Mus musculus: one gene and its partners. The protein of the gene in region 3 interacts with the protein of the main gene of each other region in a pairwise test. Links are inferred from orthologs where the notes say so. Each region holds a gene or a part of one and is shown on either strand. Other genes may lie near its edges. The genes, in order: Trim54, Slc25a48, Mid2, Zfp24, Utp25, Hoxb9 and Spg21.

Evidence for each region.
Region 1: the proteins of Mid2 (region 3) and Trim54 interact in binary tests that used the Homo sapiens proteins (3 or more experiments, as listed by UniProt). The two-hybrid records come from large-scale screens. The link is inferred for Mus musculus from reciprocal best matches to the Homo sapiens genes MID2 and TRIM54.
Region 2: the proteins of Mid2 (region 3) and Slc25a48 interact in binary tests that used the Homo sapiens proteins (3 or more experiments, as listed by UniProt). The two-hybrid records come from large-scale screens. The link is inferred for Mus musculus from reciprocal best matches to the Homo sapiens genes MID2 and SLC25A48.
Region 4: the proteins of Mid2 (region 3) and Zfp24 interact in binary tests that used the Homo sapiens proteins (3 or more experiments, as listed by UniProt). The two-hybrid records come from large-scale screens. The link is inferred for Mus musculus from reciprocal best matches to the Homo sapiens genes MID2 and ZNF24.
Region 5: the proteins of Mid2 (region 3) and Utp25 interact in binary tests that used the Homo sapiens proteins (3 or more experiments, as listed by UniProt). The link is inferred for Mus musculus from reciprocal best matches to the Homo sapiens genes MID2 and UTP25.
Region 6: the proteins of Mid2 (region 3) and Hoxb9 interact in binary tests that used the Homo sapiens proteins (3 or more experiments, as listed by UniProt). The two-hybrid records come from large-scale screens. The link is inferred for Mus musculus from reciprocal best matches to the Homo sapiens genes MID2 and HOXB9.
Region 7: the proteins of Mid2 (region 3) and Spg21 interact in binary tests that used the Homo sapiens proteins (3 or more experiments, as listed by UniProt). The two-hybrid records come from large-scale screens. The link is inferred for Mus musculus from reciprocal best matches to the Homo sapiens genes MID2 and SPG21.

Annotation. Positions count from the first base shown.
Region 1 is NC_000071.6:31,130,112-31,133,611, forward strand, and holds part of Trim54 (tripartite motif-containing protein 54), read left to right. Parts: intron 1-930; coding exon 931-1,103; intron 1,104-1,876; coding exon 1,877-2,048; intron 2,049-3,500. UniProt on the Homo sapiens protein: May bind and stabilize microtubules during myotubes formation.
Region 2 is NC_000079.6:56,462,355-56,465,854, reverse strand, and holds part of Slc25a48 (solute carrier family 25 member 48), read right to left. Parts: intron 2,353-3,500; coding exon 2,110-2,352; intron 901-2,109; coding exon 767-900; intron 1-766.
Region 3 is NC_000086.7:140,663,632-140,667,755, reverse strand, and holds the start of Mid2 (probable E3 ubiquitin-protein ligase MID2), read right to left. Parts: upstream 2,801-4,124; 5' UTR 2,482-2,800; coding exon 2,478-2,481; intron 1-2,477. UniProt on the Homo sapiens protein: E3 ubiquitin ligase that plays a role in microtubule stabilization. Mediates the 'Lys-48'-linked polyubiquitination of LRRK2 to drive its localization to microtubules and its proteasomal degradation in neurons.
Region 4 is NC_000084.6:24,018,014-24,022,176, forward strand, and holds the start of Zfp24 (zinc finger protein 24), read right to left. Parts: upstream 2,801-4,163; 5' UTR 2,699-2,800; intron 2,358-2,698; exon of another isoform or gene 1,819-2,357; intron 156-1,818; 5' UTR 75-155; coding exon 1-74. UniProt on the Homo sapiens protein: Transcription factor required for myelination of differentiated oligodendrocytes. Required for the conversion of oligodendrocytes from the premyelinating to the myelinating state.
Region 5 is NC_000067.6:193,113,252-193,116,751, forward strand, and holds part of Utp25 (digestive organ expansion factor homolog), read right to left. Parts: exon of another isoform or gene 2,405-3,500; intron 1,771-2,404; coding exon 1,588-1,770; intron 1,467-1,587; coding exon 1,354-1,466; intron 752-1,353; coding exon 506-751; intron 1-505. UniProt on the Homo sapiens protein: Component of the ribosomal small subunit processome for the biogenesis of ribosomes, functions in pre-ribosomal RNA (pre-rRNA) processing. Essential for embryonic development in part through the regulation of p53 pathway.
Region 6 is NC_000077.6:96,270,188-96,274,129, forward strand, and holds the start of Hoxb9 (homeobox protein Hox-B9), read left to right. Parts: upstream 1-1,142; 5' UTR 1,143-1,354; coding exon 1,355-1,871; intron 1,872-3,942. UniProt on the Homo sapiens protein: Sequence-specific transcription factor which is part of a developmental regulatory system that provides cells with specific positional identities on the anterior-posterior axis.
Region 7 is NC_000075.6:65,459,497-65,463,736, reverse strand, and holds the start of Spg21 (maspardin), read right to left. Parts: upstream 2,801-4,240; 5' UTR 2,583-2,800; intron 1,037-2,582; exon of another isoform or gene 833-1,036; intron 1-832. UniProt on the Homo sapiens protein: May play a role as a negative regulatory factor in CD4-dependent T-cell activation.

The DNA of each region.
Region 1 (3,500 bases), on a different chromosome or scaffold from region 3:
TCTAAGACACACAGTGTAAAGAGCCTCAGCTAAGCCGCCAGTGCCACCATGTCCAGCCTTTCTTTCTCTCCTTTTCTTTTTTAGACAGGTCTCATTCATCCTGTGCTGCCCTCAAACTCCCTATGTAGCTGAGGATGATGTTAGACCTCCTATGGAGCAGACCCGCCTACCTCTACCTCCCAAGTGCGCCACTCTGCCCCTGGGGATCAAATCTAGGGCAGCCTCTACCACTTGAGCCACATCCCGAGCCTGGCTGCAATTCCTCTGTCCCTGTTCAGCACTTGAGTTGTGTGACTCTTCCCGGGACTAAAGAGAAGCACTCTCATGGCTCAGTATTTGGGAGACAGAGGCAGGTAGTTAGACAGAGTGTTTGAGGCCAGCCTGGACTACATAAGACCCTGTCTCAGGGAGAGAGAGAGGAGAGAGAGAGGAGAGAGAGAGAGAAAGAGAGAGAGAGAGGGAGAGAGAGAGAGAGAGAGAGCCATAAGCCCAATACTTGGGAGGTCAAGGTAGAAGGATCAGGAATTCAAGGTTATCTTCCATTCACGTGGAGTTTGAGACAAGATTATATTATCTTGCCAAACATACATGCACATGTACATATGCACCACCTTACATGTGCTCATAAGGGTCCAAGCTGGAGGACACTGGCTATACTGCCAGTCTCTTGCCTACAGTTAGCATTCCTGTCAAAGCCCCATGCTGGACTCCATTGAAGATAGTGATCAGGCCTGGGCCAAAGTGAGGCTCTGTGTGCGGGGACACTCAAGGAGCTGAGCTGAGGGATGAGGCCAAGGCAGGAAATCGTCTGTCAGAGTGTTGTCTGGGGACACCAAATGCAGAGAAGACCTAATGTTCCCGTGTCAGCTCACCACTTGCCTTCCCTCACACCTCCTTACACTTCTAGTGTCCTGTCACCTGTCTTCTCAGGCCTCTAATCCTCTGTGGCAATCCCGGGGCTCCACAACGGTGTCTTCAGGAGGACGTTTCCGATGCCCATCTTGTAGGCACGAGGTTGTCCTGGACAGGCATGGTGTCTATGGCCTGCAGCGGAACCTGCTAGTGGAGAACATCATTGACATCTACAAGCAGGAGTCCTCCCGGTAAGATAGATGCCTGGCTGCTGGCCTCTCTGGAGGGAAGAGCCTGCACCCTTGGGGATAGAGGGGCAGTTTAGGGTTTCCATTGCTATTGTGGAGCACTGTGTTTGCCTCACACTCCCACATCATAGACATTCCTGAAGTCAGGACAGGAACTCAAAGAGGGCAGGAACCCGGAGGCAGGAGCTGATGCAGAGACCATGGAAGAGTGCTGCTTACCGGCTTGCTCCTCATGGCTTGCTCAGCCTGCTTTCTTATAGAACCGAAGACCACCAGCCCAGGGATGGCCCTACCCACAGTGGGCTCCCCCATCAACATCCCCCATCAATGGCTAAATAAGAAAATGCCTCACAGGCTGTCTATAACCCCATCTTTTGGAGACATTTTTTTGATTGCAGTCCCTTCCTCTCAGATGATTTTAGTCTGTGTAAGCTGACATCCCCCCAGCAGAGGGAGGAGGACAACAAAGGGGAAAGAAGACCTAGGGAGGAGGGGAGGCCTCCAGGGAGGCCCGACTTTGCCTCTGGAAACACTGTTCAATCTTACTCCCTCCTCCTGGTCTGGGACCAAAGTCTACCTCAATGTTCTTGACCTCATCAGCTCCCATGACTTCCTGTCCTGCGTGACATCTTTGTCCCCTGGAATAGATTCTTCCTGGGTCCAGGTCTCCTTTGAGCATCGTTTCTTCCCCAAAGTGAGAACGCTGTGTAAGTTTCCGACCACTGGTCACAGTCTGGCTCCCTGACAGTCGCTGCTGCCTTGCCCTTGATCCTCAGGCCACTGCACGCCAAGGCTGAACAGCACCTCATGTGTGAGGAGCACGAGGACGAGAAGATCAACATCTACTGCCTGAGCTGCGAGGTGCCCACCTGCTCTCTCTGCAAGGTTTTCGGCGCCCACAAGGACTGTGAGGTGGCCCCTCTGCCCACCATTTACAAACGCCAGAAGGTATCTAGTCAGGGAGGGGTCGGGAAAAGGGTTTAGGACTGGGCAGTTCTCACTGTACTTAGGTAAGGGGTGGTCAGGGCAAATCCCCAGCTCTGCTTTCTACTCTGCACACGACCCTGAGGCAGTTACCTGACCTCCCTGACCCTGACTGCCTTCTCTGGTCAGGCAAGGTGAAGACAATGGTTATGGCCACAGCATCAGCTAGTTAATATCTAACGGGAGCCACTTCAGGACGGTATCCACCAAAGGACCAGATACGCTCAAGAGTGTGAAATTACACAGCTAACTTCCAGATATGCTGAGATTTTTAAGATCACACCAGTTGGCCTTTGAGAGGAGAAGGGCATCCTAGGAAGGTGGGGATGGGGGGTGGTGGTGGGAGGTGGGAAGGGCAGGTCCAGAGAGCCCCTGCAGGCAGGAGAGATAACATTCATCACATGACCAATGCTGGCTCAGTACAGGCTAGAGATAGAGGCCATGCCGCAAAACCTGCAAAACATGTGTAGGTAGAGGTGCATTTAAGACTCCCCAAACCTCAGCTTGTGTTGAAGTCCCAAGATATCAAAGAAGTCGTTTATATCACCTGGTTCTTGTCAGAAACAAATGCAGATGTTAAGCTGGAAGAAGATGCCTTCAATGCAGGCCCTTAGATTAAGATCAACACAACAATCACAATGGAAGATACACAGAGAAATGGACCACATGAGTGCAATTAGCAGAAACCCTTCAAACCCTCAGGGAATTGAGATGTTGGAATTATTAAAGAACAGAAACTTGCAATGTACACGATGTTTTTAAGAAGATAGAATAATGTCAGGCATGGTTGAGCACTCTGTAAGTCTTAGCACTCAGGATGCTGGGTGCCCAGCCTAGACTACATAAAGAATTCTAAGCCAGCCTGGGCTGTATAAGGAAAGACCCTGTTTTAAAGAAAAATAAAGTGGGGCTGGAGAGCTCAGTGGTTAAGAGCACTGTCTGCTCTTCAGAAGGTCCTGAGTTCAAATCCCAGCAACCACATGGTGGCTCACAACCATCTGTAATGGGATCTGATGCTCTCTTCTGGTGTGTCTGAAGACAGCTACAGTGTACTCATATACATAAAACAAATAAATCTTAAAAAATAAAAAAATAGAAAAAAAGATGAAATAAAACAACAGCATCATCATCATCATCAACAACAACAAAAGGTAGAATTGGAGATATAGCACACTTGCCTAGCACAAAGCCCCGGATAGATCCCCAGAACTGAAAAAAAACAAAAGTGCAAAATGACCATGTAGCAGCAGTGGCCTGTTGTGGTGGCGAACACTGTAATCTCAGCTACTAGGGAGGCCAAGGAAAGAGGATAACAGATTCAAAGCCAGTGTGGATAACATGAAAAGGCCCGATCGAAGAAAAACCAAAGCAAAGCAAGCTGAACATAGATCTGACAAAGAACTGAGTGGAAACTAA
Region 2 (3,500 bases), on a different chromosome or scaffold from region 3:
AGAGATAAATACCCTAACAGTGCACTTCAAAGTTTAGAGAAAAAAAAAAAAAAACAAGAATTAGCCAAACCCCCAAGCAGTGAGCAGTAAAATAAATAAATATATAAATAAATTGTAAAGGTCCGGGCAAAAATTAGTGAAATGGAAATTTAAAAAAAAATCATCAGTCAAGGAGTTGGTTCTCTGAAACAATAAGCAAGACTGGCTACACACACACACACACACACACACACACACACACACTGAGAGAGAGAGAGACAGAGAGACAGAGACAGAGAAACAGAGAGAGACAGAGACAAAGAGAGACACACACAGAGAGAACGTTTTTCTGAAATCTACAATGAGACAAGGGTGTCCACTCTCTCCTCTCCTGTTCAATACAGTGTTTGAAGTCTTCACTGGAGTATCAGGACAAGAGAGGAAATAAAGAATATAAATAGAAAAAAAAAAGTCAAGTTGTCCCTATTTGCAGATTAGCATGATCTTATCCTTAAAAACCAAAGTATTCCACCCCAAAACTTGATCCATATTTTGAGCAAATAATCAGGGTACAAAATCCAGTAGTGATTCTATATACTAACAAATAAACTTGCTGACAAAGAAATCAGGAGGTGGGGTAGGGGAGAGGTCCCATCTACAAACTTAACCAAGAACAGGCTGGTAACCTCTAGCACCTGCTCTCCCAGTATCCTCCTCTAGCCTCACCAGCAGCAGCCTCACCCTCTGCCAGGCTGCTGCTGACCCAGGGCGGCTGCGTGCAGCTTACCTTAAAGCCTTCTTGCTGGTAACTCTGGGAGATGCAGTCCACGACTCCTCTGTATTTGTTTAAATAGACCCCATCTGCTTGGATTCGACTTTTCACGACATCCATTGGAGTTGCTGTCCCCCAGGAAATTGCCCCTGGGAAGTCAGAGAAACCACTTGTGTCAGAGCTTTCTGTCTGTCTTGGGTCTTCAAGGCCTGGCTTCCTGAAGATGCTGTCCTCCAATGCCCCCTCCCCCATCCCATCCTCATAAGTGGTGGGGGAACATGACTTCTGATCCTCTCTCTCCACCCACTCGTGGACCTAGTGGAAGCCTCCCACACCTCCTCTGTAAACTGGGCAGCAGAGTTGTGTTTATGAGGCCGGCAGGAGACTGAAGCAAGAGATCGGACCATGTCGGAGCTCCCCACACAGAAACATTATCAGTGGAATAGCGACTGCTTCTGTAGTCTCCCAAGCAGGCAGAGAGAGCCCAGCGTGAGACCTGTGACCAAAGGCTTGCAGTTATGGCTAGGTTTGAGTCTGGGGGAACTGAACAAAGCCCGTCTGTCACAAAGACTGATCACTGAGAAGGGCCAGCCTGGGAAAATGGAAAATGTGTAAAATCGTCTTTAAACCTGTGGCATAAAACTGAGAGAACACACAGAGGGGTCGTCCTTGCAGGATCAGCTTGAAAATTCCAGTCTGAGCATTTGTGTGACTTTAAAGGGTTAGGGAAATAGGGAAAAAGGAGGAGGAGGGGAAGGAGGAGGAGGAGGAGGAGGAGGAGGAGGGAAAAAAGGAGAAGGAGGAGGAGGAGGCCTGAGAGGCAGTAGGGAGCCACATCAAAGAAGGCATGTGGCAAACCACTTAGTGCATGCTGACTTCCCTCTGAATGAACTGGGGTTGTGGCCCAGGTGACAAAATGAGCAAGTGTGGCTAGCCTTGGATCTCTGTGACTGTCGGACCCCTGGGTATCTCAGGGCAATGCGGAGATTGGATCCCCCTGACCCCCGTACCTAACAAGCCTGACATTTAGCAAAAGTGAACAGAGATAATAGCTTCTCCCATAGCAGCTCAGCAATGCCTGCCACAGAGAACATGCTAGAATGCACCCATTGCCTCAAAGTCCAGTGAACTCACACAGAGACTCTCATAGCCCTGGAGAGAAGGATCTGGGAGGTCAAAGGGCCGTTCTCTCTACTAGGTGTGGCACAGAGTCAGTGAAAGGAAGGCTCCTGCATATTTGGCTGGATGAGGCCCATCTCCTTAGGACCGGGAAAGTTGTGGTAGGCTCCTCTATACTCTACCATTACTGTGGCAGGCCCAGGACCCAGGGATGGGACTTCCGTGGCTGGGGTCCTTACCTGCAATGCCCCCTGCCAGCCAAGCTGCATAGGGGCTGGGCCCTGTGCAGGCCTCAGGTGTGATCCACTCGCTCAGGAACACATAGGGAATAAAGTAGAAGCAATATCCCGGGATGTCTCTCAGCAGCATGGCGCTGGCTCCCCGGTACAGCCCTGTCAGGCCCTCCATCTGCACAATGGTTGCAATGCAGTGCACTGGTCCCTGGTATGCTGCCACCGCCCTGGACTTCAATCCATGGCTAGCTGAAAAGACAGGAAGGAGATGGTGCCAAATGACCAGGCACGTGAGAGACTGGCCAGCCGCTGGCACCACAGCCAGTCTCCTAACAGACAGTTCCCACTCATGTGGCTCGTTCATTTTTACCAAACTATCTGTCACCCTTGGCAACTTATACCAGAATTCTGAGTCTCCAGAAAGGAGCCCTGGCAACCAGATTGGAGACAATATAAGCCAAGTTGCCCTGGAATTCACAGTCTTCTGGTCAACCATCCCTATGCATTTCTAAGCAGCTGTGATTGAAGAAAGAAGACAATCAAGTCAAGCTCTCTCTTGATGGGGAATTAATAGTCAAATTATTTGAAACCAGGCTGTCCTGGATGCAAACCTTCCTCCACCACTTAACAAATGTCGGCGTTTTCTGCTCTTGTTTTCTAGTTCGTAAAAGACAGATCAAGAGTCATGGATACAAGTCAGGTCACATGCCAAGTCCTTGACATGCTGCCTGGAACAGTGTGGGGTTCAATAAGTTAGCAGCTGATAGTCATTGGTAGGGTCCACTGGCTGGCTAGAGGATGGACGTGTTCTGACTCATGCCAGCCCTGGCCTGGGCTGTGCCCTAAAACAGCTGCAAGGCAGCATCAATAACCCTCAACATCAAGGGCCCTGGATTCTGTTTCCTTTTGTAACAGGCCCCAGACCTTAGCATAACCTTCTCCATGATGGAAGTGCCATTCAGGCTGTAAAATTCAGCATGCGGAGAGCACCACCTGCCAAAATGAAAACAAAGACCTAATTCACCAAAGTCCATAGCTTTGGGAAGTCCTTAAATGTAGGAACCTTGATGTTTGACATCTACAGTTCTGCTTCTGTTCTTGTTAGCTAAAGTGTGTCAACCCAAGATCTGGGTTTTGTGCTTAAAATCTCACCCTGAAAAAGGCTCAGGCTACAGTAGAATACCAAACACCAAGTGTAGTCTAATAAAGACTTTCTATTGGCTTAAACCTATACCCAAACACTCTTCTCTGGTGGATACCCAACAACACTTGGAAGCTTGGGGGTCTATGCTGGCTGGTTGTGGTCTGTTTTCTCTTAGCTTGTCTGAGGGTATACAAAACAGTAGAGCAGTAGTCGCTCTGCCATCCGGTCCTCCCAGAGGCTACCCACCATCCTC
Region 3 (4,124 bases):
GCAAGTTGCCCTGTTTTTAGAGGAGGGATTAACCAAACCAATTTTATCTAAGTCAATTTGCGCTGTTCAGATGATATGTTTGTGAAGCAACCAAGCCACTCATTTGCAGCAAGTGCCTCTCAGAAGTGGTCTTGCAAGGTACAACATGCTAAGCAGGAATCCCAGTAGTCATGAAAGTAAATAGGAGAGACAGCTCTTCATGTGCCATAACCCTCTCTCCCTACTCCACACATCACCCACCCTGACTGCATCCTAGCCATGGAGCCATGGAACTGTAAGTAGAGTTTAGCATAGGGCAAATATGAGCCCAAAATACTGGGTCAAGGGCAGGTCCTCACTCAACACAGACAGCAGAGGCTTCTGTACATTAAAGGTGCTTTGAAAAATATTGACTCACTGCTGCTAGGTGCTAATTTTGCTTATATAGCCAGACCTAAATGTATCTATATTACTTTTATTGGTCATTAACTAACTCCCCCCATGTAGACTAAAAAAATGGGTGAGGTTGAATATTCAAATGAGTCTGACTCACATTGTTAGGGTAAAGTGTAATCAATATGATTTATGACTCGACTTAAAATCATCACCATTACTTTCTATGCCTAATTGTATATATGTTTCCATTCAGTTGCATATACATTCATGAAACAAATTGACTTAAGATCTAAATTACAATGATAATTTGAATCTCAAGGGAACTAATAATGGCAAATTAGGGTTCCTGTAAATTAGTGTTCCCATTTATACCCAGTCAATCCAGTAACCCAATAAAGGATAAATGAAGTGCTTTCATTGAAGAGTATAATGCTGAGGTTTATAGAATCCTTTTATCTTCAAAGGACCAAGCCAATACTCACAATACCCAGTACACAATATTATGCCTTTTATGCAAGTGAAGCAACTGTGAAAGAGAGGTCATACAAATGTCTAAAGGCCTTAAAGCCAATGCAACGTCACATCTGGAATGAACTCTCTGATCTTCTTGGCTTCCAGGCTTGTGTTTCAACCACATGAAACGAGTTTTGTAAGGAACAATCACGAGAAATCTAATTCATATTATGAGTCTGTGTTAAGCTAATTGATTGAGCAGGAATATATAAAAATAGCAAAGATTGATTCTCCCTTGGGGCAGTGATGAGCAGAGAGGAGGAGGTTAAAAAAAGGTGGGGATGCTGGGATAGGAATCTAGGGTACAGCAAAAGCTCCCCAAGCAGAAGTGAGCAAGAATGTAAACTCTCCATTTAGCAACTCCATCTTCTATTGGAATAGTGTCAGAGATCTGATTCGATTTCAGAGAGGAAATGGAATGGGATTAAAGTCAACTCTTGTGGTCCAATTCGAGAATCAGATTAATTAATCCCCACACAATAGTTGTGTACTATTACAGTTTCCAATGTCTTGCTTCATAAATACTCCTCCTTAGAGACAGACACACAACTAATGCCATTCAGCAGCCCCACCCTCCAAAATCTTCAAAAAAAATCAAAGTGATTGAAAAGCAAGAAGCCGCATTGCACAGGTTGACAGAGAAAAGCTGAGAGTGCAGGAACTCTGGTGGGAGATGTGGGGGCTTGAATAGAGACAGTACCTAAGGAGTGTGGAAGAGTGGGGAAAGTGAAGAGTCCAACAATCCCTGGATCCTAATTTCCTCCTCTAAATCGAAATGCCTCCTAAATAAATAAATACTATGCTGCACGTGAAGTGCGAAACAACCCAAGCCAGCTCATAACCAGTAATGTTCCAGTAATTTTTATGAGCCCGGAATGGAAAAGGCTCCCCTGTCCCTGCTTCAGTCGCAGTGTGTCCTATGGACACACTCAAGTTTTTCCCTCTCCACCCCCCCCCCCCCCACGGGGCTGCTTTCACAGCTAGGCCAGAAATAAAGAACCACCCAGACAGAGACCTGAAGATCGTTTCCCCAGCAGGGAGGAAAAGGGGAGGGAGAATTAAGTTTCTCCCGGGGTTCCCGCTCGCAGGGTGTCCACAGAATCTCAGGCTGCTGCGCCAGCACCACTGAGCCAACCGCCGACCTCGGGGCGCCGCCCGGGCCGAGGACGCCGTGGATTTCGGGAGCGTGGGAAGGCGGCTGCGCCCTTTCCCAGACTTGCGCCTAGGCGCCACGAGAGCTGAGCCGCTCCACTGCTTTCTCCCTGCTCGGCCTGGCCAAGCGGGAGGCCTCGGGCCGGTCCCCAGCCTGGGATCTAGGAGTGCAAACTCCTTCCCAGGAGGGCAGCGGCAGGAGCTCGGGTCACAACAGTGTGACAGACAACCGGGGCCCTGCCATTGCCGCCAGGACCCCGTCTCCCCCCTCTTGCCGCCCCCCCCCCCAAGCCCAAGTGTCCTCGGCCAGTTCCAGCCCCGGCGGCACCTGAAGAGCAGCAGGAGCCAGCCAGGGCCAAGCCCGGCGCGGGCGGCGACACTAGCCACCCCACCACCACCACCATCCCCCCGGGCCTCGGCGAGGGGACGCGTTTTACCCATATTGTTCCCGGGTGCCAGCCATCTCCTACGCGCGCCGGGGAGCGCCGGGCGCTCGCCGGCCTCCGCAGCAAGCTGGCTCGGGCTCCCGTGCAAGCTCCCGGGCCGCTGTCGCTGCTGCCGCCGCCGCCGCCGCCACCACCACTCTAGGCCGCCGCCCGCCTTCGCCGCTGCGGCCGCCGCCGCCGCCGCGCAACAGCCGGGATCCGCCAGCCCGCGCGCCCCACGGGGGACAGCACGGAGACCGCGACGTTCCCGCGTCTAGGTCTCCCGGGCTAAACTTAAAGAGTTTTCGCCTCTCGGTCCAGAGGCAGCACCATGACACCACCGCAGCACCACACTGTCATTTCCGCCGCAGCAGAGGGAAAAAAAAGGCAATCCCTTCGAAAGGAGGGTGGAGTGGGGGCAAGCAGAGCCGAGGCTGACACCCTACGGGAGCACGGGGAGGGGCCGGGCAGAAGGGGCGCTGGGCCACCTTCCTAGGCTCACCTTCCGCCGCCCCCGCCACTCCCAACTCCCCGTGCCCCTCCTCTGGAGGCGCGCTTACATGTTTTCTCCCCTGGCAGGAGTGACCAGAGAAACCCGAGCAAGCAAAGGCAGTGGGTGGGTGGGGTTCAGATTACTACTGTACCTACCAGCTGATTCCAGCAGCCTTTTCTCCAGCACCCTGTCATCTTGATGGAAGACACAGGGAGAAGGGGCCTGAGCAGGCGCGCACGAGCGTGTGTGTGTGTGTGTGTGTGTGTGTGTGTGTGTGTGTGTGTGTGTTTGCGCGTCCACGACCGGGTGGTGTGTGTGAAGCGCAGAAGGAAGACTGTGGCCAAACTCTTCACCCACCTACCTCCCTTCTACATCCACAAACCCCCAGATGAGAGCAAGGAGAAGGCTGTTGCACTCGCCAATGAAAAGAGTGTGCCTGGATCCTCCTCACAGGTCCTACTGGTGAAGCTGTTGTATGCAAAGTTAACTAGAGAGTAAAACAAAAATAGTGGAGGAGACAGAGAAGGGCAGACAATTGAAGGAAACCCAACCCCTTTTTCTTTTGACAAAGGGAGAATGGCAATGTTCTATTGGACTTGGGCACAAGTTGTTCAGGTGGATTAAAGCCACTAAAAGTGTATGGGGTAAGGTTTCTTTTGCACCTTCAGATCCTTGACCAATACAAAAGGGTCACTGCCAAGAGGACAATGAGGCAGATGCTAGCCATCCAGAATACAATGTCCCTAATAAGATCCATTTGGAAGCCAGGAGCCTCCCATTGGTCTGGATACAGCCTGTCTTTTAACCTATCACTGGCTCAAAGACTACCACCTCCCCCCAACACACACACACACACACACACACACACACACACACACACACTTAAAAGGTAGATGAGAGAAGGAAGCCACCTCAGAGGATATTCTTTCTAGCTCCACTCAAAATGAGGAAGGAATAAAGCAATCCGAAACAGCCCCTCTCACATGGGCCTCCCATTACTGTGCTTGGGAACAAATCCAGAAAAAAAAATGAAGGTAGATGGGTGTGTCTTATCAGGGAACCAATAGCAGTCAGCCAACAGCACTGTTAAACAAACCTGCTAGAGAACACTGGAGTGGAAATGAAGGGAAAAACCCAACCACATTACCTAAAAGGAAGTACAGCAC
Region 4 (4,163 bases), on a different chromosome or scaffold from region 3:
CTCAGAATTTTTTCTTCTTCATCTGGATTTGGGATGATAAGTATTGAATCTTCTTCCACTGACTGTGCAGACATTCTGTTACAGTACTTCAAGAAAAGGCAATGGAGGCAAGGTATACACCTCAGAGAAATACCCTGTTTTCCTCAAAAGTACTCCTAAGGTATAAGAAACAGAAGACACATAAATCACCAAGTATCCCATGATATTCAAAAGCAGCAGCAAAAAAGATATGCTGTTTTACTGGATTAAAAATTCCAATTAATAACCTATAACCTATACCGATTGAAATTCTAACATAGCTGCTAAATTATAGCCAATCTAGCCTGCTGCCTATTACAGCATCCATAGTAAAGTAGTGTAAAAATTTTAATGACTAAAAAGCACAGAAGCGTTTCTTGTTGAGAAAATATGATGTATCTGTCCAGGATCAGCAGGGTCACTTGGTTGGCCAAGGCCTGCTGCCGAGCCTGCTGACCCGAGTCCGATGACCAACAAGTACATAAGCGAAAGCTTACTTCTGCACAAGCCGGACACGACGTGTACACCCCCCCCACACACACACACACAAATAAGATGTAAAAATGTTTTTTTAAAATGATTTATGGGCATTGGTGGTTTTTCTTGCATGTATGTCTGTGTGAAGGTGTCAGACCCCTTGGAACTGGAGTTACACACAGTTGTGAACTGCCATGTGGGTGCTGGGAATTGAACTCAGGACCTCTGGAAGAACAGCCAGTGCTCTTAACCACTAAACCATCTCTCCAGCCCCATTAATATGTTTAAATTTTGTGTATATAAGTCATTAAATTTAATTGTGGTTCAGGCTATAATGGTAAGAGTTGACAGCATTCAATGATTTCAGCTAAGATCTAAAACAACGTAATATTTACTATCTTGTCCATTCTTGGAAAAAAAAAGATTGCCAATCTGTGACATATGGTCAACCAAAGGTAATTTAATAACCTAAGGAATCCAGGTAAGAAGCCATCTATCTCAGTGGTCTCCAAATGCTCTGAAGCTTGGGACTGGAAAGCTGGTCCAGCAATTAAGAAGGTGTTCCCTTGCAGTGGACCCTGGTTTGTTTCCAGCACCACAAGCCTCTCTCTTCTAACCTCCTTAGGCACCAGGCAAACACGTGGTACAAATATACATAAGATAACAAACTAAACATTCAGAGCGGTGGGACATGTATAACTTTTTTTCCCCCATTTATTTTGTGCTGGAATGCATCAGCACAGGCGTGGAGGTCAGAGGACAACAGGCAGGAGTTAGTTCCTCCCTCCTGCTATGTGCAATCTGGGATCTTAGGAGCAAGGCCCCTACCCGATGAGCCACCTAGCCCATCCCACTTTTCTTTTCATTTTTTGCAAACCTGGAGTAGGAAACAGATCAACCACAGCCCCAGCCCGAACCCCCCGGATTAGAGACTTATCCAGGGACCTTACACACCCTCCTCTACTGCTGAGCTAACTCTCGGAATTGTGCATAAATACTATGTTGTTTGTTTAGGAACTCCCTAAACTTAAAATATATGTGAGAAATGTTCACTAGTAGCTAGCTATGTGTCCTAAATCTGTAACCTCAACACGGAGGCAGAAGCAAGGTTATCCTCGTCTACATGGCAAACCCAACCTGGGCTAGTAGATCTGTCACAAACTCTGCTTTACACAGTTCAGTAACCGATCGCATAACACTGCGGAAGAAGCTATTTCACATAACATGCAAATGTTACTCAGGCATCCACCACACCATATATACATTTAAACTTACAGTAACAAGTATCAGCTGCAGCAAATTCTATTAGGAAAAAGCACTTACAGTTCTCAGTGGACAGGAGTCTTTTTTCCTCAGTCAGCTTCCCTAACTTTTCCTTCGGGGAAATTTGAACTACTTTCTGGTCCTTTTGGTATTTGCAAAATCATAACCGTGCCACGGATAACAGCACATAGACACTCTTAACTCTACAGCTACTGTTTAATCAATCAGAGCCAAGAACCAAAAAACCAGAAACTTAACAAAACCTTACTGAAACCGGTCAAGGTGAAGACAAAGGATGAGAAAATGCTGTATCAAACTGACAGGTCATATAGATAAGAGTGGGATGGCCTGAGAACAAAATCCAAGTTATTTGTTCTTATTCCTGGAGCCGACTCTTATCAACAGCTCACGTATTTCTACATAACAGAAACTGCTTTTTCTTTTACTTTGTACTGCACCAAGCTCGTGGAATGTGCAATCCGGCACTCGGCAGGATCCAGGTCTTCAGCGACCTCCCGCCTCACAGCGCCGTGCCCAGCCTGCCCCAGCAACTCGGCCGTCCTCTTCCCAGCATTCACCAGGAGGGCCGCAGAGGCCCCGCCACACTGGACAGGCACTTCCGCCCGGGACCAGCAGGACTACAAATCCCAGTAGGTGGTGCGCGAGAACCGCCGGATCCCACTTCAGCTTGAGCGTCTCCCAGAATCCTACGCGAGCCGCCAGAGCCTCGAAATAGAACAAAACCGGCCCGTGGGGGAGGGGAAAGCAGGGCGGCGAGGATGCGGGCGCCGGGGGCTCTGCGGACCCCCGAAGTGCAGCAGGCCGCCGCGGCCCTTCCGCCGCGGCCTTCTGTGCGCACGCCCGGGATGCCGAGCGACGCCGGCCTCCCGGCCCCTACCCGCGCCCTCCTCCTCGAGCCCTACCCCCGCGCGCCGCTGACCTCTGGCTCGGGACCCGCCGCAGCCTCGTCGTCCCGGGCAGACGCAGCGCCGCCGCTTCCAGCCGCTTCCCACAAGCCCCCGGCGCGCACGGCTTCCGGTCCGCAGGACGGGGGGCGGGAGGGAAATGGGGGAGCCGATGCCCGGGGTTGCCATGGGGACGCGCGGTGAGCGGGGGAGGTGCGGCTTGATGACAATGGCCGCATTGAGGCTGCGCTTGGCCTGGCGCCTTTCGCAGAGTGACTGTTGCTCTCTGTTCCACTCCAGAGAAAGGAGAGGGGAGCAAGAGGGACGTGGGCGGCAGTTCCACGAGTGCCCGGTACTCCTCTCCGGAGCCCTCTGGTTAACTGACGAAAGAGAACATTTCTGAAAGTGTGCTGTAATCGGGTCAACCGCAGTCGCTACGTGTAAATCGGTTACATTGCCCCCGCACCCTATAGTGTTTGCTACTTAGGAGCTTTGGGCCCTGACACAAGGTTTGCCTCTAACCATGCCTCAAACCATCGTCCTCCACTAGCTGTGTCTCAGAGACTACGACAGGTTATCAAAGAAACAAGATGAAACTAGTTGAGGCCTTTGGCTAGTCACAGAGAATTGCAGAATACACGCATGCTGGTTGTTTAAGGCAGCTGCAGGTGTAGTCACTTAGATCGCCGTATTCCCCTTTTTAAAGTCCTCTAGTGGATCTCAGCTACCTTAACTATTGACAGAAATTTGTTACGTTGTCCCGTAGGTTGTCTATGGTCTGTTGCCTGCCTTTTCCTTCTGACCGTGATTGTGCATGACTCTTATTAAGCATGGGACTTATTGTGCAGCCTCAGCCTCACTGACCAATGAATGCCCTTTCCTCCAGGTGGCCTCCATATGCTTGTGGCCACCCTTAGAAGTGATCTTCTAACTTAGCTGTGCTTTGTTTGAAAGTCCTGTAAAGTTGGGTCCTCTAGGTCCTGGTTAGCACAGTACCCACACCTAGTTTCTGGATGCTGACTGGTACATAGAAAACTCAGTAAGTACACTTTGAATAAGTGAATGAATTGTAGGCTGGTCACATTGCATGAGGCCTTTGCTAGGTCACATGTCAAGTCTCAGAAATCGCACAAAAGAGCTCTGTTTTGAAAATACTCTTGTAAGAAGCATAGGTCAAGTTTGCAGAACATTGAAGCGGTCCTCAGGCTTTGCCCTATTGTCTCATTCAGGAAAGGGCCTCTGCAGAGTGTCCTCGCCTCTGCTCCCGTAGTGAATGAGAGAGCAGTAAACAGGCAGCTGACAGAATAGCAAGACTCAACGTTCCAGCCGGAGCTCACCTTCCCATAACCTCTGGAACTTTCCTCTCTTCACTATGAGACTCTAATACAGCCTTTTTACCCTCGGGTTTGGCTATAGCCAGAATCCGGCTTGGCTGGTCTCTGCAGCCTTTTCTCTATTGTGACTCCTGAGAGCTAACTCAAAGCATCTTTTTGTTTCTTT
Region 5 (3,500 bases), on a different chromosome or scaffold from region 3:
ATTATTAACTAACAAGCAAATTAGGATTTAAAAAGCAATAGCAAAAAGTAAACAAGATGTTCTGTTAATGACCTAGCAGTAAATCTAAGCACCCATTGAAAAACTAAAATGTATTCAACCCCGAGTCCCTTGAGATTTTTCCACTACTGTTATCAAGGGGTAAGACAGAACTTTCCAGGGGAAGACAGCCACCTGGATATGCTTCCTCAGGGATGCAGCCAATACTCAGCCTCCACCTCCCCAAGCTCTCCTGTGCTGATCCTGTTCTGCTCTTCAATCGTTCACTGGCTTCTGTGAGGTGTTGGGACCACAGCTGCATTCCAGACCACACAGGGCTCAAGCTTTGGTTTCTAACCTTCCCAGCAATGCCCAACCAACGAACCACCCACCCACTAACCCACAATACAACCCCTGTGGCTTTCCACAGAGCAGAAGCAAGGGACGCATGTACAGCCCCACAGAGCCTGCCCAGGTCCTTCAGTGGGTGGAGCCTAGACTGTCTTACCTTTTGTAGAAATGGAAGCGTTCTGTGAGGAGCAGAAACTGCTTCTCTCCTTGCAGAAAGAAGTGTCGAGCCCTGGAGATCCCAGACTTCTGCGTATACTCGCAGATGTGTGTGAAGTTCAGCTCTTCTTTCTTGAAGTAATTTCGGAGACGCACAAAGTCAAAGTAGGAGGGGACATAGATGAGTGTGTGAGACATGACAGCATCCCGGTACTGAGGCAAAATCTTGTTTATGAAAAAGTGAAACCTGATTAGGAAAGGCCAAGGACAAGGTTAACATCTACAGCTGAACTCACAGTAGGGCACCAACAGTGTGGGTCAGCAAGGCATAGCCCAAGAGATGCCTTGAGGCCAAAGACAGCTTCTTTTCAAAGACCCTCTGAGGATAAAACTGATAAACACGTAGGAAATGAAGTCCTAACAGTTAAGTGTAAAGGCAGATCAGGTTCCATGTATGCCAGAGAACTAATGTAGTTCACACCAGCCCCTCATTCACTCAGCGGCAAATAAGCCTTGCCTGTCTAAGACATATGCCCACAGAAGGCACATGTGGGGAACCAGACAATCTGCTCTTCTCTGAAGGGCTTATAATTAGGTCAAATGGTATGGATTATTCCATAGGCCACAGCAGCAATGGTGTGATTTTGCCGTGTCCCAACCTTGCTTCTAGCTGTAATATGAAGACCAAGCCCCAGTTTCTACCTGGCTTGATTCCTTCTCTGTCAAGGGCCTGGCTGAGTTCAGTTTGGGGACCTAAATTGATAATCAGTAATCACTCAGAGTCCAGTGTTAAATACGCATCCCAAACCAGATCTCTAGATGAGGCTCTGTGGGTGTGGGTAGCGTTACCTGGCATCGATCACTGAAGATAGGTCTTGTGCTTCCATTCTCTGGAAGACGTGAGGGAGCTGCACCAACACATGACTGATGGAGCCCGTCATGGGGACATTCCTCACAGCCACCTGCCAGGAGGTAAGAACTTCAGGAGGCAGGCAACCTTTGTTGATCACATGCCATTAACTCTGGCACTTCATGACCCAACCTAGTCTACGCTTCAGGACAATCCGAGGACACAGGACTCACCTGGCCTTGAGCATTGATGCAGTGCTTGTTGAACACAGAGTTGATCTGGGCATCCTGCAGGGCACCAAAGAGCAGTGTCTGTCGGTAGTACTTGGACCAGTTATTGAGGCTCCACATTCGGACTCTCGAGAAGTCCACCCCGTGTGAGTCCAAGGGCAGCAGGTTCATGTGGTTCATCAAATGCTTGGTGCAAAATACCAGCACATTAGTGACTGCAGAGCACCCATAAACACCAGCACATTAGTGACTGACTACAGAGCACCCGTAAACATTATAACCCATCATCCCCGTACCCCATGAGGTATGTGTTAGCGTCTCCCAAATGACAGGAGAAAAGTAAGGCTCAGATGGTGACCTGCTCAAGGTCAGCTGGACACTCTAGTAAGACAAACTGGTCATCCCCAGGCCCTTCCGAAGAACACAGGCTACTGGAATTCCTTTACAAGGAATTTTCAGAACTAGGCATAGTGGGGCACTCTGGAACTCCAGCAGTCTGGAGGATGTGAGGCCAGGATGGGCTATATAGTGAGCTTGAGACCAGCTTAGGGTGCAGAGTGACACTGTCTCAAAGACCACAAGAACTACTGAAGGAACCAGTGGGAGGGAAGAGAGAGAGGACAGACTGGGAAAACACAGCAAATATGACACACAGGCGTGAGAGGTCACAGAAAACCCCTCACCTTACACATTAACAGAGAAAAAACAGTAACAAAATACACAGTGTAAAGAAACATGGCTCATGTAAAAAAGGGACTCGTGAAATGCAGACTGGTTACTTTGGGGGCTGCTGTCCCAGACTTGGACAAAAAGGGAAGCCACATGGGAAGCAGAACCTCTGCCCTTCAATGACTGAATCTCAAAATACCAGTGACAGGGATGGTCTAGCGACAGACTTTTGCCCACCATGCCCAAGACCCTATGTTCAATTCCCAGAATAGCAAACAACAAAAAAACTACAACAGTACCACTAGCTCTGCCTCAAATTAAAGAATATGCTATCACCCATCAACAGACTTTTTCTGGGTTTTCTTTCTTGGGACAAGGTCTTGCTGTGTAAACTGGCCTGGAATCCTGTAGTCCAGTCTGGCCATGACCTTACTGTAATCCGTCTCCACTTCCCGCACCTCAGGCTTACAGGTGTGAGCTGCCACACCTGGCTTGCCTTATTCATTCCAGCTGCATTTTAACACACTGTAGGACACACTCCAAGGGTCACAACTGCTACAGATTCATTTTCACTTTGTAAGTATCAACTGTTGTTGATGTACCCAAACTTCCTGTAAAACTCTTAAGTCTTTAGGTGGAAGCAGAGGTGAGCTATCATCTGTCTTAGAAGAATCATAGGTCTGAGATAAGAATAGTTCCACTGTCTACAAAACTTGAGCTTGAGAAGAAACACTTCCCAGGAAACATGGTCCACGTAGGAAATGCTAGTCAGGGCTGAGAGAGCGCCCGTTGTTCTTTCAGAGGGCCTATGCTCTATTTCTAGAACCCATACTAAGTGGCTCCTTTCTAGGGGGTCATATGCCTTCTGGAACAGGAACACACACACATACACACGACATACAAACTAGCAAATGAAACTTCTAAATTTCTAAAAAAAACAGAGGCTGGAGAGATGGCTCAGTGGTTAAGAGCACTGACTGCTCTTCCAAAGATCCTGAATTCAAATCCCAGCAACCACATGTGGCTCACAACCACCCATAATGAGATCTGATGCCCTCTTCTGGTGCATCTGAAGACAGCTACAATGTATAATAAATAAACCTTTGGATAGGAGGAAGCAGTGACTGAGTGAGTGGAGTTGACCGCAGCAAGCAGGGCCGACCGGAGTGAGCAGGGTAGACCAGAGCAAGCAGAGGTCCTAAATTTAATTCCCAACAACCACATGAAGGCTCACAACAATTTATACA
Region 6 (3,942 bases), on a different chromosome or scaffold from region 3:
AGGATTGTAGGCGAGAAGGCGGCGGGTGGGGGAAACGGACTGATGCCGGGGACTCCTCTGTACTTGCTACCGTCCTATGTCAGTATTTGGACCTTTTCCAGAGCGGCAATTCCGGGTGAAAAGCGCTAGAGTGCTGAGAATTTAGCTGGCCTCTTTCCCTTTTTGGATGGAAAGGAAGGTAACCCGGTGTTCCTTACTGTGCCGTTTGGGGAGTCTTCTTCCCCTTCTCCTTTAATCATTTCCCACATTAGCCCTCTCATCTGGACATTTTTAAGGGTCTCAGAGATTCCTGGATGAAGGACAAGAAATGACCATGGACCCAGCCTTTCACAAAGGCCCAAGAAAAATTTTAAGGAGTTAAACAAGACTGGTTAGTCTCCCGAAACTCTAGTTCCAGGGCCTGGTGTGTCTCTTTGGCCTTAGGCAGGCTATAATTTCAAGACAGATAATGATTCTTTGGACACTAGTCCCCTTTCGCCTCTCTCAGCTGCTAAAGGATCAAGGGAAGAGCCTAGTCACGTAAATCTCCCCAAATTGTGCCCTGAACCCCCTCCAAAGAGGATAACTGTCCTATAAAAGCCCCAACTTCTTTCTCATCCTTTTACTTCATCTCCTGTGGGTCGCTGTACTGCTGTTGTTTAATAAACATCTCTGTCAAGGGGACAGAGGACAGGAAATGAGGGCCCGCGGGGTGGAGGTGGAGGTGTTGGGGGGGGGCGACAAGACTACCTCCTCTTTAATTACCCTGTCGGGCCTCTCCCGCAGCTCTGAGGCTGGGGCGCTCTCCCTCCCTGTATGCTGGTCCTCCCCCCCCCCCCAATCTGCCTGGGGAGAGGGCTCCTCAGCCTGCGTCCCTCCTGAGGCAGCCCGCTGCTTGCCTCCGCCTCTCCTCCGCCCCCATCGCCCCATGTTGAGAACCCCCCTTCCTGTAAAAGCGGGAGGGGCCCGGGCGGCCCGGCAGCTCAGGCTGAGGTTACGTGGCCGCCGGAGCCCTGACGTGATAGCACATTGCATCAGCATAAAACAATCCATCCTGGATATGGAATGCGGTGAGGACGGATGACAGCGCGAGCGCAGCCCCCTCGCCCGATTGATTTATGTCGGAGCTGACGCTTTATCAGGCAGTCCGCAAAACTTTGACCAATCATTTTGCAAGGAGCTCCGAGCCGGGCTGCTCCACTGTACTTTGTTGGCTGAGAAGTTGAGCAGGGGGTGGGGGTGGGAGGGTGGGGGTCTGGGGGGGGTCGCGTCCGAAAGCCCTCTGCACCGGGTCCGTGTGCCACCTTTTCCCTGCTTGGGCGCCGCGGCGCGAGCGCTTCCCTTCCCCCTGCGAGCGCGCGGATAATGTCTGAGAATGTCCATTTCTGGGACGCTTAGCAGCTATTATGTCGACTCGATCATAAGTCACGAGAGCGAGGACGCGCCTCCAGCCAAGTTTCCTTCGGGCCAGTACGCGAACCCGCGGCAGCCGGGCCACGCCGAGCACCTGGACTTCCCCTCGTGCAGCTTCCAGCCCAAAGCGCCGGTGTTCGGCGCCTCCTGGGCGCCGCTGAGCCCGCACGCCTCGGGGAGCCTGCCGTCTGTCTACCACCCCTACCTGCAGCCCCAGGGCGCGCCGGCGGCCGAAAGCAGGTACCTCCGCACCTGGCTAGAGCCGGCGCCGCGCGCCGAGGCCGCCCCGGGGCAGGGCCAGGCGGCCGTGAAGGCGGAGCCGCTGCTGGGCGCGCCGGGGGAGCTGCTCAAACAGGGCACGCCCGAGTACAGTTTGGAAACTTCGGCGGGCAGGGAGGCTGTCCTGTCTAATCAAAGAGCTGGCTACGGGGACAATAAAATTTGCGAAGGAAGCGAGGACAAAGAGAGGCCGGATCAAAGTAAGTTATAAAAAAAAAAAAAAGTGAGGAAATCCCCCCCAGGCTGCAGGCCAGGCCCGGGGGAGGGGAGGGGAGAGGCCATAAAGCGGACAATGTAAAGGGACAGAGCGCCTGGGGCCGCAGGGCTAGAGTGGGTGGAGGGAAGAGGAAGGAAGGGGCTGGCAAAGCAAAAAGCTGGGTGTCCAGGAGGGGGACACTGAGGCTACCCCCCACTCCTCCTTGTGGCGCAGGGACTGAGACTCAGGGACCAAGTCTCTCTAGTCCTTCATTCTTCCCCAGGCTCGGGCTGGAAAAAGGGAGAGGGACCTGCGATAGAACTGTAGGAGGCCGGGCCGATGGCCAGCGCGGCCCGGAGCCCGCGCGGGCACGGGGCCGAAGAGCACTCGGCAGAGCCGCCTGCGCCACGCGCAGACCGTCCCTGCCGGCCAAGGGGAAGGGGGAGGGGGCTCATTAGGATTTTATTTGCGATGCAACAGCTTGGCGGAGGATTGTTCCTAGCAGATCTCACGCAGTAGCCGCGTCGGGTCGGCAGCAGGCGCCGGGAGGGGCGGGGGAAGCCCAGGATGCGGTGACGGAGCCCCCTCCCCGGTGCGCCGGCCCCTCCCCGGGAGCCTTCCCTCCGGGGGTCCCCCGCCCTTCTAGGGCATCCTCGACAGGACGGCCGTTTCTCCTCCTGCGGTTGCACGCTGATCTCCGCGGGGCTTCCGATCACTTAGGCCGGGCAGTTCACCTCTCCGAGAGTCTAGGCATCACTTGCTAAAGACAGGGCCTCCCTCTAGAATGGAGGAGAAGACACCCAAAGGGACCCCGGGGGAGGGAGGGGGAGGACTGCGCAGGGGCGGAGAACTCTACCCTTGGTGGAGAGTTTCTTACCACCTCCCACTCCTAAAAGCACCCTTGCTAAAATAAAACCCCAAGTGGAAACTGCTGCTGGCTGAGAGTAGAGGAGGCTTACTTTTAGGGGTTTGTTTTTAAGGATGGGGAAGACAAACTGGTTTGGGGCTCGCTCTTGGTCCCAAACAATACGGGACAAACTGACAGGTCAACTCCTCACCTCTTCCTCCTCTGGGCAAATAGTTTGGTCCTTGCTCGCCCTATTGGATGCCCCACCAACAGAGAGGCCAATGGGTCCTCTGGGGGCATGCTTGCCCTCTGAAAAGCAAGGAGAGACACTATTCCCCTGTGACCCTTGTGGTCCCCTCATACCTCCAACTTGCCAGGCTGAGTTATTAAGGAGCTCATATCCCCAAAACAGCTCCTCCCAAAGCTCCAGAAAACACCCAAACAGACCCCTCACCCCATGGCCCCAGACTAGGCCTGAGTTGCCCATCATTGCAAGGCAGCCATTTGGCTAGGCTCAATTATTAACAGTTTTTTTTTTTGTTTCCTCTTTCATATTTAATGAAAGAGGAAAAGGCTGCGGGTCCCATCCCAGACAATCACATTAAGGGAATAGCGCTGCAAATTGGCAGGACACGCTACTTAGTGTAGGATGAAGTGAATTTTAAAATATACATAGATATTCAGAGCTTTTCACTTGGGGGCTAAGCTGGTGGAGTGGATCTTGCTTGTAATTGGCTCTGCTTTGGGAGGCAGGTAACTTTTCTGAGTCCCGAGGTCTAAGGAGGGATGCTGGACAGAAAAAGAAAAAAAAACTGTATATGTTATTTGCTCTTTGTGCCCCTCTTCCACTCAATTACACCTTTCTCTGCCTCTCCATTGGGTCCGTTAAAAGGATTGGTATGCTGGGAAGGGCTTTCTGTCGTCCCCCCCGCCCCCCGCCCCCCCCACCTCATCTCTGCTTCTCTATCTTAGAGCTGTAGCAATTTTGCTTCCCAGTTTCCCTGAACTTGTGTTAACCAAACTGTGAGCTGAGTAGCAGAAAAGAAGAGGCTATTGCCACCATAAGTTATCTGGAAGCCCTGGGGCTCCCCGTCCACGGGCTGCAATTGATAAATGGTTGCAATTGGGTTGCTTGTGAGTCGGAGTGTGCAGGGTGTTCATGGCTGTAAATGCAGACTCTTATTTGTGGTGTGTGATGGGGAGGGCTGCTACCCAGACTCACATGTCT
Region 7 (4,240 bases), on a different chromosome or scaffold from region 3:
ATGAACTAACCAGTACCCCCAGAGCTCGTGTCTCTAGCTGCATATGTAGCAGAGAATGGCCTAGTCCGCCATCAATGGGAGGAGAGGACCTAGGTCTTTCGAAGAGTCTATGCCCCAGTATAGGGAAATTTCAGGGCCAGGAAGTAGGAGTGGGTGGGTTGGGGAGCAGGGGGAGGGTATAGGTGATTTTTGGAGAGGGGATAGCATTTAAAATGTAAATAAAGAAAACATCTAATTAAAAAACAAAAAAAAAAACTAAGCCATTTAAACCATTTTTAGCACATCTTTCACCATTTAAAACTGCTTTATTTGATAGCTTCATACATTTATGTAGTACATTTTAGTTAATTTAACTCTCCTGTCTCCCTTTAAGTTATTACTTTAAAATAAAAGCAACTAGCGGCATATACAGTTAATCCTGGAATATTTTATATCAGGACAGACTTGAAATACCACCACAGCATCTGTGCACTTCCAACTGGAAACATTTTCTAGAATGTCTGCAGGAGGGAATATTAAAGACAGGCTAAACAGCCAGGTGTGATGGCACACATCTTTAATCCTAGCCCTCAGGGGCGGACAGCTAGCTCTCTGGGAGTTCAAGGCCATCCTGGTCTACATAGTGAGTTCCAGGCCAGCCAGAGCTATGCAGTAATAGTAAGACCCTGTCTCAAACACACAAAGCTAAAACATCAATCAACTTGTTAAAGTTTACTTCTAGGATCGACCAACTTACAAAAAAAAAAAAAATTATCCACAGTTTTAATAAGATGCCACTCACAAACCAAACTAGGTACAAGCACACAGGCAGGCACACAAATGAGCTACCTACTTCTTTCCCACAGTGGCCGAAGGGTAGTCCTTACCGGGTCTTCAGTATAACTCACAAGCAGCTCAGTACTGACCACATTGTAACTAATCTTGATGCATAAGAGTTCCTACACAGCTGTGAGGACACTTTTGCAAGGACAGGTGATTCTAACACTTGTGCTGGTTGGGTGGTGAGGAAAGGTGAGACAGTTACCAAATGTTGCCAAATGTTGCGTAGGACCAGCTGACGGCTAGGAAGAAAAAAAAAAAAAAAAACCTGCTGCAAAGCTAAAGCAGCTGTGAAGGGTATGAAAAGGAAAGTTTGTTCTAGCTCTCTTTCATCCACTTAAGCCGGATGCTTTTCCAAGTCACAAGAGAAACATTCTTAAAAAAAAAAAAAAAAAAAAAAAAAAAAAAAAATCTGTGGCCCAGAAAGTTAGCTGAGACTGTGACCAAACTGGTCAGGATGAAAAGAAACATGGGCAGTGTGTTCAGGACAGATTTGCTTTCTCGTGACTCTGTTCTTTACAAAAAACAGAAGCACCTGTTCAGGCTGGTGAGGAAAGAGGCAGAGATAAGCTTTATCAAGGAAACCCCTCCTCCCGCTGGCCAGGATGCTAAGGCTCCCCAGCTCTTCTTGGACCTTGCGTTGCTGGACAGTAAGTTGGCTAGTTGTGAGAGAGCATGTACTTGGCCTTCAGAGTTTCAACAGAACCTGCAGTTCATAGCTGAGGAAATCGCCTCTACAAATGTTTAACACACGGTCAGTCACATATTGCTGGTCCTTTATCTCAATGTATAGGTGTCTTATATAGGGACAATCTGTGGTTGTTAATACAACCAATTAAAAAGGTTATTAGAACTAGAGAGCCTCTAGGTGACATAACTATGGTTCTCGGTGTTGGGGAACGCTCACCATGGGCTTTTACCACTGAACTACACCTAAGGCCCTGCGGCGGGCTGTTCACTACACATCTTCATCCTTCACCACACCTATATGTATTAAATAGCCATCTTTTTGGAGATTTCTTCAGGTAAGATTTATCCTTTCTCCAGGAACCTATCCACTTCTCTCTAAATATCATGAGAGGAGACGCTGCCCGCACATCTTTCTCTCTGACCACTCGTTTCAAGGTTCTGGTGTAAAATCTTTTTGAAAACTCATACACAGCTATTAGACGGCTTCCCAATGTGCAGAATCCTTGCAAAAAGAGAAGCTAGACCACTGCAGATGGAGACAAAACAACATCAGCCCCTAACTTCTAACTCCCTGGGAAAAGAAGAAAAAAGGGGGGGGGGGTTTCTCTCGCCCTGCTACACTCTTCATGACTCTTTCACAGGCCTCACACCTAGTCTGAGGTAGGATCTTTAAAACAACTCTACTCGCAGCCCTTAAAAGTTGACTGAAACCAAAATGCTCCTGAATTTCTGCCCCAGGATGGGTGGCTCAAGAAAATGAGGATGTCTGACTAAGGATTTTGGGCACCAATCGCCATAGGGGCCGCCCTGGGTTCCACCAGTTCAGAAACAACAACAATCCGCAATGAACCGAGGCTGAACCTTAGACAGACCCACAGGCACAATCGGACACACACAGGCGCCCGCGAGAGCGCACCACACGCACACACAGAGATATGGATCACGTGCATGGTCACAAGGACCTGCCCACTCGTGAACTCTGCTCGTAAGTCACGCATGCTCGATACACGCCCACCTACAACCCTACACGCACCACACACCCACACTCTTGCTTTCCAGGGCCTGCCCCTCACCTGCCGTGGCCGCTCCCGCGTCCCTTTCTTTCCAGCCTAGACGGATCTTCGCCCCGATTTGGGCGCAGAGGATGGAGTCGGCGGGGCGCGGACTGGACCGGCGGCCGCAGATCAGGAGCCCCGCGGGAGCAGCGGGCAGAGGGGGCGCGCGGCCGAGCAGCCAGAGGCCACCGCCTCCCAGCTTTGGTACTGCGAGCTCCCCGGGCGCGCCTCCCGCTTCCGGGTTCCGAGGAGGCGGGACCAGATGGCGAGGAAGGGGCGGGGCTCTGGTGGTTACTATGGCGACGGGGCTGGCAAGGGAGGCCCTGTTCTGAGATTTGCGGTGTCCTAGAGGCTGTGGAGGCTGGTGGTGGATAAGGGTCAGTTCTTGGTCACTTCTGACAGGAGCATGGAGGAGGAAGTGAAAAATCTAGGCTGTAGGCCCCGGGGATGTGCTTCTGACTTCGGTTTTTAGGCGTCTTCATGCTTTGGTGGGGAGACACTTTTGGTCCATAGCTTTGGTGAATAGGCCTTGACATAGTCTTTTTAAAACATTAGTATATATCAGTTCATTACAATGGCTTAATTAGGACATTTTGATACCTATATAAAGAATTTGGATCATCACCCTCCCTTAGTCTCTGCCTCCCATGTCCCATTCCCCTTCAGCCTCCCAACTGCATATGCTTTCTCAGCAAAATTGTTTTTACCTTTTGTATAGACGCTGTCCTCTGACCTCCTTTCAAAGCCTTGTCTCCTTTTATGGCTTTGTGCTGATGTTGAGGGGGTATACTCAGCGCTGGTTTGCCCTCTTCTGTCAGGCACAGTCTAGTCACTGTTCTTACGAGAGATGTGGCAGATGCCACAACACCTTTCAGTTAGCTTACAGCTTTGCTCTGAAATAATGCATAATAATATTGAGTGACCTGTCAATCTTGTTTGAAAATTTGTAAGGTTCCTAAAGCAAGATCCTAATGTTTTAGGGACTTTTAAAAATATTTTTTATTATTATTACTTTTAATCGTGTGTGTGTTTGTGGGAGAGAGAATATATGGTGCACATGAGTGTAGTTTATAAGGAGGGCAGAGGAGGATCCTAGAGCTGGCATTACAAGTGTTTGTGAGTTGCCTAACACGGGTGTAAAAGTAATATGTATTCTTAACCTCTGAGCAATCTCTCAGCCCCCACGTGTGTGTGTGTGTGTGTGCGTGTCCCTGTGCCTGTGCATGTACGTGTGCGTGTGTGTGTGTGCGTGTGCCTGTACGTGTGTGTGTGCGTGTGTGTGTGTGTGTGTGTACGTGTGTGTGTTGATGCCTGCTGAGGCCAGCTTTGGACCCCCTGGAGCTGGAACTGCAGATGATTAAGATGGATCAAGCCTGACTGGGTACTAGGAACTCAGCTTTGGTCCTCTGGAAGAGCAGTAAGTTTGTTAACCACCAAACCATCTCTCCAGGCCTAGAGAGCACAGACGAAAACAATGACTCAAAAAAACAAAAACAAAACCACAAAACAACCAAACACTGATCTATGGCTCAGGAGTCTTAGGTTCCAGTCTAGAACTTAGACAAACACCAGACACATTTTCCCCAATGCATAGTGATGTCTCGGCTCTCAAAAAGGTGAGGCAGAAGGATCTCAAATAGTGGTACTGTATCTCAAAGCTAACTGAATTGTTCAAA